Linked DNA regions of Neurospora crassa OR74A. The protein of the gene in region 1 interacts with the protein of each later gene in a biochemical or structural test. Links are inferred from orthologs where the notes say so. Each region holds a gene or a part of one and is shown on either strand. Other genes may lie near its edges.

Region 1 (4,267 bases):
AGGGGTTTCTACGCGGGTAGAAACAGGGGCCTCAGCCTTGACAGGTTCCTGGGTGGCCTTACGGCCGCCCTGACGGTCCTGAGACCGAATCCGAGCGGCCCGGCTTTCCCGCTGAAGATCGAAGATGAAGTCTCTGACCTCGTCCTCCACGCCAAGGGCATCCTCCCAGCGACGCTTCTCGTGTTCAGAGGTGGAATCCGGAGCACCCTCCTTGAGACTATCCTCAATACCCTTGGCGAATTCGCGGACGCTATCTTCAACGTCTCTGACCATGCGCTCGTTGTTCTCTTTTTCGGTCTTAATCTTGATGTTCTCCTCTTCCAAGCGCTTGGGGCCATCGGCATCATCATCACCGATATCGATCTTCTTGCCCATCAAGGCAGCTGTCCGCTGCTGCATCATAGCCTTCGCACGGGCCTTGATTCTGTCGGACTCGGTGACCATACCACCCGGGCCAGTACCGACAATGGCGGCGGCGCTGTTAGGATGAGCCTTGGCATCCTTGAGACGGAAGAGCTCAAGTCTGGCGTCAGCAATGGCCTTCTCAGTCTTCCGAACCTGGGACGCAAGCTCTGGGATTCTGTCAGTAAGCTGCTGCAGCTGGCGCTTAAGTGCGCGTCTCTCGGCATCAGAGTCGGCGCTCATCAGCTGGGCATCTGGATGATTGTCAATGTCCTCCTGGATTCTCCGGATACGGCGGTATAGTTCATCGGCCTCGCGGCGGTCGCGTCTGTCAAGAATGTCGTCTTCCTCCATGTTCTTCTCATCGTTGAAATCCATGGCATCAAGAAGTACCTGCTTCTCCTTGATCTTCTTGCGAAGCTGCTCAATAGTCAGGTCATCACCGGAGTTACTAGCCGCCGGAGATTCAGGACGAGGAGACGTGCCCACGCGACGGCGCGCGCTGGAGCGATACCCCACCTCCTCATCGTTGTTCTTGAACACGGTAGCATCCTTGCGGTTAGCCCCAGTGTTCTTGAAAGAGTGGCCTTTAAGATAGCTGACGCCGGTCTTCTGGGGCAGCAACGAGGCCCCAGTGTTTTTGCGGAGCTCGGATTCCTGATGAAGCATGTTTTTGACCATACCAATAGACGCACTGAGGTTTCTCGCAGAAGGGGGAACAAGCTCAGGAGGAAGCTGGTTAGGAATAGGGTAGCCGTTAAGCTTGCGGTAAATCAGATGCATAGCCACCGCAAATTCATCCAAATCCAGGCGGCCCTTGTTTCCATTGTCGGCGAGGGTCCAGATGCGCTCAAGATCAGGCTTGTCCAAGCCACTCTGACCAAAGATCTCGATAGCAGCATCGCCAGCGATGAAACCCTTGTTCAGACCATCCCAAGCCCGGAACAGGGCATCGTACCTCGTCTTCTCGTCCTTGGTGATGGCCCAGGGGATAACGGCATTACCTTGAAGTCCGGCCGTAGTATAATTCCGCTGTTCACGTCCCAGTTGAGGCATCATGCGAGCCTGGAGCGCATCAATGAGAGGCAATCCGGTGGCAGGCGTATTAACAAGTCCCCATTGTCCAGGCATTCCCGTGGGCTGAGAGTTGAGAGGAGCAACCATGCCGCCAGGGCCAGCGTTAGGCGACAGATTTGAGCCAAATCCGGTCGGCATGGGAGGCATGGGAGGCATAGGACCGGCGTAGCCAGTTGGCTGGGGGTTCATTCCCGGGAATCCAGTCTGCTGGGGTTGAAGGCCCTGGTTCTGACCCATGAAACCAGTTTGCTGAGCAGGAAAGCCAGTCATCTGCGCCTGGAGAATCGCCGAGTTTGACGGCTGCGGCTGGGGCTGTTGAATGGTCGGAACGGCCGCCGTATTCTGCTGCGTAGCAAAGCTGGGGGCGTTAGATGCCGGGGCAGAGCTAGAGCCCGCATCGTCGGTGATACTAAAGTTGATGATGTCCACCATGCTCGAAACCTCGTTCTTGATGTGATCAGGTAGGACGCTAGGAAGTGCCTTGCCAGTGATCTTGAGGTTGCAAAGGTACATGGCCAGGGCAAACTCGGGGAAGTGTAGCTGCCCAGACCTTGTGGTATCCGCCAATGTCCAGATTTGTGATAGCGAGTCCCCATCCAGCTTCGACCGCAGAAGGAGATCTCTCGCCTTTTCACCCGACATGGTAGTCTGTCCTTCTCCCACAGCCGACTTGAAAAGCGTCTCGAACCTGGCCTGGTCATGCGCCGTGATGAAAGAAAGGCGGATGTTGGGGATCTTGACGGTGTTGGTCTTCTGCTCGGCCCTCCGTCCCTTGCCCCCAGCCGTCTGGAAAGAGGCGGCCATCTCAGAAAAGCCCGTAGCCTGGGGCTTCACGGGCGGAGGAGGGGCGATGCCACCCTGGGCGGTCGGGGCAGGCTGTTGAGCCGGCGCTTGGATCTGTACGGATGGGAACCCAGTCGGCTGGGGTTGCTGAATCGATGGCTGCTGCTGCTGCTGCTGCTGCTGCTGGAACGACTGCTGTTGCTGGAACTGCTGGGGAATCGCTGGGACAGGAGGCATGCCGGTCTGGAACGGCTGCTGCTGGGGCGCTTGGGGCTGGAAGCCAGTAGCCTGAGGCTGGAAGCCAGTAACCTGGGGTTGGAAGCCAGTAGCCTGGGGTTGGAAACCGGTGAACTGTTGCTGAAGCTGAGGCTGTTGCTGGGGGGCCTGCAACCCCGGGTATCCCGTGAACTGCTGCTGGAGCGGCTGCTGTTGTTGCTGACCATAGCCGGTCTGTTGTTGACCAAAGCCGGTAGGTTGGGGAGCGAACCCAGTCGGCTGCGGCGCAAACCCGGTCGGCTGAGGCTGCATCGGGCCCTGTTGGCCAAACGGACTCGGGGCGCCGTATTGTTGCTGTTGCTGCTGCGGCTGCTGGCCGGGGCGAAGGCTGTTGGCGCCCCCGAGGAAGGCATTCGAGTTCGAGTACATGACGGGCGGTTCCTCCTCGTGTATATTACTAAATGCAATTCGATGGCCCTCGTGTCGGGTCTAGAAGTATCGGACGAGGAAGAGAGGGGCTTGGGGCTGCGGAAATGGAGGCAGCAACACCTGATACACGACGAGGGGAAAAGGGGGTTCAAGGAGCGGAGAGGCAACTGGCGAAAGAGAGGCAGCAAGCTCCTCTTGGTCGGCAGTCACGGAATGGGGGAGACTAGTAGTTGAATTAGAGTAGTGATTATGGTGTAGATAGACAAGATGCAAATGGCAAGTATGGGCTGCGATGCGCCGTGGAAGCGCTCGTGTGATGACGACGACGACGACGACAGCACTGGCGGCGGTCGGGTGTTGTTGTTGTTGCGTGTGTCAGGGTCAGGGTCAGTGTCAAGTGTCCAGGCAGCGTCGGGCAGGCAATCAGTGCGGTGAATCGATGTCACTCATAGTAAACACCAAGGACTGGACCACCACGCCCCGTTCCTTGGTTGGAGCCACTGCAGTTGGAAGCGGGAACTAATAACATGGAAAATGAGCAAATGGAGCTGGAATACCATATGGTCCAATGGATGCTCTCCATTGCTTCTCTTTTGCTCCACCTTTTCCATGCTCACGGCAGGCAAAGAAGCAACAGCGAAGCTTCCAAGTACATGTCAGTGTTGGTAGACTTCAGGAACGGGCGGACTGGGCTCACTAGTAGGGTGCTTGGACCACCCTAGCTACATACGCAGTATGTATAATCCGTGCTCGGCCTCCTCTCTGCCACGTGACAGCTTTCTCCAGCTCCCCCTGAGCACAGGCCACATAAAGGAATGAAGCTTCAAACGAACTGAAAGAAGCTTGGGCCAACTTGACATCTTCAACGTCGACGCCTCCAGGCCGAATCTCCCCTAGCTGCCAAGACCCGAATCCATCGGCCGAGAGCAACGTCGGGGGCTGGCCTGTGCGGCCGAATGGAGCTCCCCAGACTATCGGCTGCTCGGTCACAAAATTTTCCAGACAAGCATTGAGGTCCCCGCGCGTTCCCTCCCGCCGCCGCTCCGTTCAACGGGCAAAAATAGCATGGTCGTCCTGGCTTTCTGCACGGAGTCGGGCTCCTCACCACACCTCATCGCCATGGATTCCGACCTGGAGCTGCAGAGGATGACTCCTTTTATTCCCAGCTCCAGCCAGCCCGGTGGAGACAAGGCCGGTCACATCATCGCTTCGATGGATAGCGTTTGCGTGTCATTTTGATGGCCGCACCAGCTACCAGGACATCGTGTACATGGTGTAAAAGTCCAGAGTCGCCGATCACAGTTTTCATTGGGCCTGTGGTCCCTGAGTGGTGCTGATGCGGGCAAAAACCGGAGCACTA
Region 2 (4,195 bases), on another chromosome or scaffold:
GGCAGTTCTTTTAAGTATGCGAAGTACCTTCACCTTGTACCTAGACTACAGCACGACTTGTTGAGGATCCAAGGATGGGATGAATTGCAACTCTGGAACCGGATTGGCGGGGTAGGTACCTTCCAGGCTCCAAAGTGCGGAGTTAGGTAAACACTCGCTGTGGAATGTCCAACAGCGAATGGTGGAGAGGGGTCTTTTTCCCCTGGAAGCTTTTCCATGTGACCATGAGCGTCATTGCCCCACTAGTGTACTCATCGATCCTACGATAGCATCCACAACACCCTCTTCAACTCATTTTCAACCTGACAGCCTCACTTTACGCTTATTTATCGTGGACTCAGCTGCTCAAACCAGTAATTACATGATCCAGATGGGCCCATGTGAAGATGCAATTCATTCGTACCTTTTGAGATGTTCCAACCACAGCAACTCCGAAGCAACATATTGCTTGTGCCTGCATATTTGGCAGGACATGTATATCAAGGTACCAGTGGAATAAGACTGGAAATGGCATAAACTAGGATTTCCGATGCCTCTTCACGCTGATGAAATCGAAAAGATATCTATACGGTCAAACTATTCTACTCCTTTCACATTTCCCGACAGCCTCTAGCGGCAACAAGCAGAGCCACCATGTTGTTGCTTAGACAAGCGCTGAGTGCAAAGGCGCGTGGATTGTGATGCTTAAATTCCCCTGAAAAGCACAGTCAACATGATACCTTTCATTGTAATATACCATAGCACCTGGGAAAATTACACAGTCAAGATATGCGCCATCAGGCAGCTTGTTGTTACTCCACTGAATGCCATTAAGAGATTATGCTGTCTTAGAAAGATGAAACGTAACCGATGAACCCAAATCATTCCTGTCCTGGCAAACTGCCCATGGTCTTCGCCTCGAGGAACCCAGCAAAATATCACAGCCCGCTCTCTCTACCTCTTCAACCCATCTCCCTGTACCGACCCTCAACAGCTTACCTCCCAACCTTCTCCTCCTCAATCTCCCTCTTCAACTGCTCCAACACGTCCTGCCTGCTCCTCAAATGCGCCTCCAGCCCTTCCACCTGCTCCTTAACCGTCGCCAAATCATCCGCCACGCTCTTCAGGCTCCCACCAGCCGCCGCCTTCCCCTTACCCTCCTCCAAGTCCCTCAATTCCTTGCGCTTATAATCCAACAGCTGTTCCAGCTCCCTCTTGACCAGTGCCGGCTTTGTATCCCTTTTCCCGCCCCTACGACGGTTCGCCGCCTCCTCAACCTTGGCCATCTTCTCGTCCAGCTCCGCCAGCTGCTTCTTCAGCCTGACTTCCTCCCACTGATCGTCCGTCTGCTCGGACGAGAAGTCGGTGCCGGCCGTCTTGAACGAGGAACGGCCTAGGCGCGTCAGGTACTGATCGCCGAACTTGGCCTTGCGGCCGGTAGAGGTCTCATCGTCGGCCTTTTGGGCCCAGCGCGACTGCGACGGGTCGTTGACGTTGTATGTGATCTTGTTGCGCTCGAACGAGGCCCGCAGAGAAGCGGGAACGGTGCGCGGGATGCGGAAACCTTCGTGGCGGTAGTTGAGGATGTGCAGGAAGGCGAGGCAGGCATCTTTGTTGATGGTCGAGGAGGCCGACGGGTTGACCAGGTTCCAGGCCGAGCGGATGTCGGTGTCGGGAACGGAGAGGGAGTCGTAGAGGTCTTGGAGGGCGGCGACTGCGGGTAGGTAGGTAGATTAGTATGAGGTTAGGGACCGGAAGGGAAGGGAAAGGAAGGGATGTAAACATACAGGAAACCTCGCCGCGCATATCTCGGTTCTCTTGATAGATTTGCTCGTACTTGGACTTATCCGCCGGGCTCATGTACCAGTCAAACCCATCCTTCAAGCCGGGGGTATCGTCTTCATCTTCGACTTGCTCGAATTTCGGCGCCTTGCCGGTTAGCGCGCGGTTCGCTTGCACAAGGTGGGCTTTAGATTCGGGGACAAGCCAGTCTGGGAGAGTTGTCGGGACATCAGCGTATTCCTGTTACCGTCTCCCCCTGTTAGTTCTCTGATACTGCTGCTATTACTGCTCCCATGCTTGCTTGCTTGCTCGCTCGCTCGCTCGCAGCTTCAGGACAGAAGGAGGTAGACGAACCCCGTTCAAAAGGTCAAAGATGACCCTCATCGCAACACAAAATTCCTCGAAATCAAGGTTTCCGTCATTGTCCACATCGGCCAGATCCCAAACACGCTCCAGCTGGTCATCGCGCAGGCCACTGTTCTTCAGCACCGGCGCCGCCTGCTCGCCCGTCAGGAACTTGCCGCCATTTGTTCGCGCCGAGAAGATGTTCCAGTACGTCTCGATTTCCTGCGCTTCGATTTTTGGCGGCATTGTCGCGGTTGGCTTCGTAGTAATTATATGCGTGTAAGTGGGTTGGAAATTTGGCTAGCAGCTACCTCTCAAGCTGAAGGGCCGTGAATCGCAGCGGCAACCTAAGTCCGGGGGCAACGGCTTCCGGTTCCTGTCCGGTGGTAATGCGGTCGTCGACGGGAGCGCTGATTGATTGACCGACTTGGAAATGATGAGAGCAATTGACGATTCGATTAAGCGAGACGGTCACGGAAATAAGTGGAGATTGATACTCGGGTCAATGTTAGATAATGGAAATGAAGTTCGATTGGGTTTGAGGTTATCTCGAGGAAGTCAGGTTGGGTCGGTTGTTGCCAGTGTACAGCCCCGTAGCGCGGTGTGATTACAGTGGGAAGTTGTCAGGCGGATCCCAGGGCAGCTGCAACGTCCAAGCTCCGTCTCTTGTTGTCGGTGGATGATGCCTCGCAGTATGACCGGGACCGGGGGGATGGCCCGATGTGCGCACATGGCTGTTGTGCCTTGCCGTAGCTTCGAGGTACATGGGTCTCCACTTTCTCTCTGCCCCTGAGCCCCTTTTTCATCCAAACAATGGCATCTCGTTGAACTTGTGTCAACTGCATGATGTGATGTTCGTCGTCTTCACGTCCATGCTATAAACTCGAAACCACGCACTCGAGGATTCAAACTGTTTGTGTTTCTTCCCAGTGAGCGACCAGCGTGGTCCAGGTTATAGAGGTTACAGATAAAGCGCACATGCTCACTAGGTAAACCACAGCAACCAGCTCAGCTACCAGTTGGTGCCGATTCCTTCCAGCATTGAAAGGAATAGCAATACTCCAGGCCATGGCATCAAACATGTCTAACTTTATGAGTCATAAAGTCGCAGAAAACCTTTATTCACATCAACGGTCCGATGGTGTAGTTGGTTATCACGTCAGTCTAACACACTGAAGGTCCCCAGATCGAGCCTGGGTCGGATCAAATGCGAATTCTTTTTTTTCCTTCTTTATCAACCTTTCTGCAACGTACCTTGCCACATCTTCACACATCAAGGAACGAAATCACCTTCAGTTTTCTTCTTGATCGGCCATAGGACCGTGATGCAGCTGTCACTCACATTGCTGACGGGCGAACGACCCTTTCCCGGATATCGCACCCCAATCCAACCCTTCTAACGATAGCCTTAACTCATCTAGTCGACATCTTTCCAAATCCAATATGCCTGCTTATTACTTGACCCAATGCCTGATAACCTAAGCCCGTACCCAAAACCGCGTCATGTTCACCAACCATTAGTGCTTATATTCCATCCTGTCATCCCCAACAACCCCCCAAAACTCCTCCACAATCTCCTTCTGTCCGCTCTCCGCTCCCCTGACGGCCAAATACAACCTTGAATCCAACTCCGGGTTCCAATCCCCCGGGTTTGCACTAACCATAATTCCACCCGCCTCCTCGAGAATACACCACCCCGCCGTCACATCCCACGCATAACACCCGCCCTCCCAGTACATATCGACCTGACCAGCCGCCACTGCGCAGATGTTCAAGGCCGCGCTGCCCAAGCTGCGCAAGCTGTGCACCATACACCCGCCATTCTCCTTGGCAGCCGTCAACTGTCTAAACACCCTGGTCTTGATATCAAAGTTCTTTCCCTCGCGCTGACTACCCCACTCGACCGCCACCAGGGCCGTGGAAAGGTCTCCTAGCGGCTGGCCCCCATTCAGCGGCAACTTTTGCTTTGGCCCCTGTCCCTTTCCTGGTTCGAGAGAGGCGTTGCGCTGACAGTAGGCGCCCTGTCCCTTGGTGGCCGTCCAAAGCGTATCGAGAGCGGGGTTGTAGACAACGCCCACCGCGGGGCGGC

Evidence for each region.
Region 2: the proteins of NCU06171 (region 1) and NCU06347 form a complex in vitro, tested with the Saccharomyces cerevisiae proteins (2 studies listed by BioGRID). The link is inferred for Neurospora crassa OR74A from reciprocal best matches to the Saccharomyces cerevisiae genes PAN1 and END3.

What each region holds. Positions count from the first base shown.
Region 1 is NC_026503.1:1,749,877-1,754,143, reverse strand, and holds the start of NCU06171 (actin cytoskeleton-regulatory complex protein pan-1), read right to left. Parts: upstream 3,109-4,267; 5' UTR 2,908-3,108; coding exon 1-2,907.
Region 2 is NC_026504.1:2,823,332-2,827,526, reverse strand, and holds NCU06347 (actin cytoskeleton-regulatory complex protein end-3), read right to left. Parts: upstream 2,764-4,195; 5' UTR 2,353-2,763; coding exon 2,116-2,352; intron 2,002-2,115; coding exon 1,767-2,001; intron 1,694-1,766; coding exon 975-1,693; 3' UTR 762-974; downstream 1-761. Other genes in the region: NCU06348 (myo-inositol-1-monophosphatase), read right to left, coding at 3,624-4,195. UniProt on the Saccharomyces cerevisiae protein: Component of the PAN1 actin cytoskeleton-regulatory complex required for the internalization of endosomes during actin-coupled endocytosis. The complex links the site of endocytosis to the cell membrane-associated actin cytoskeleton.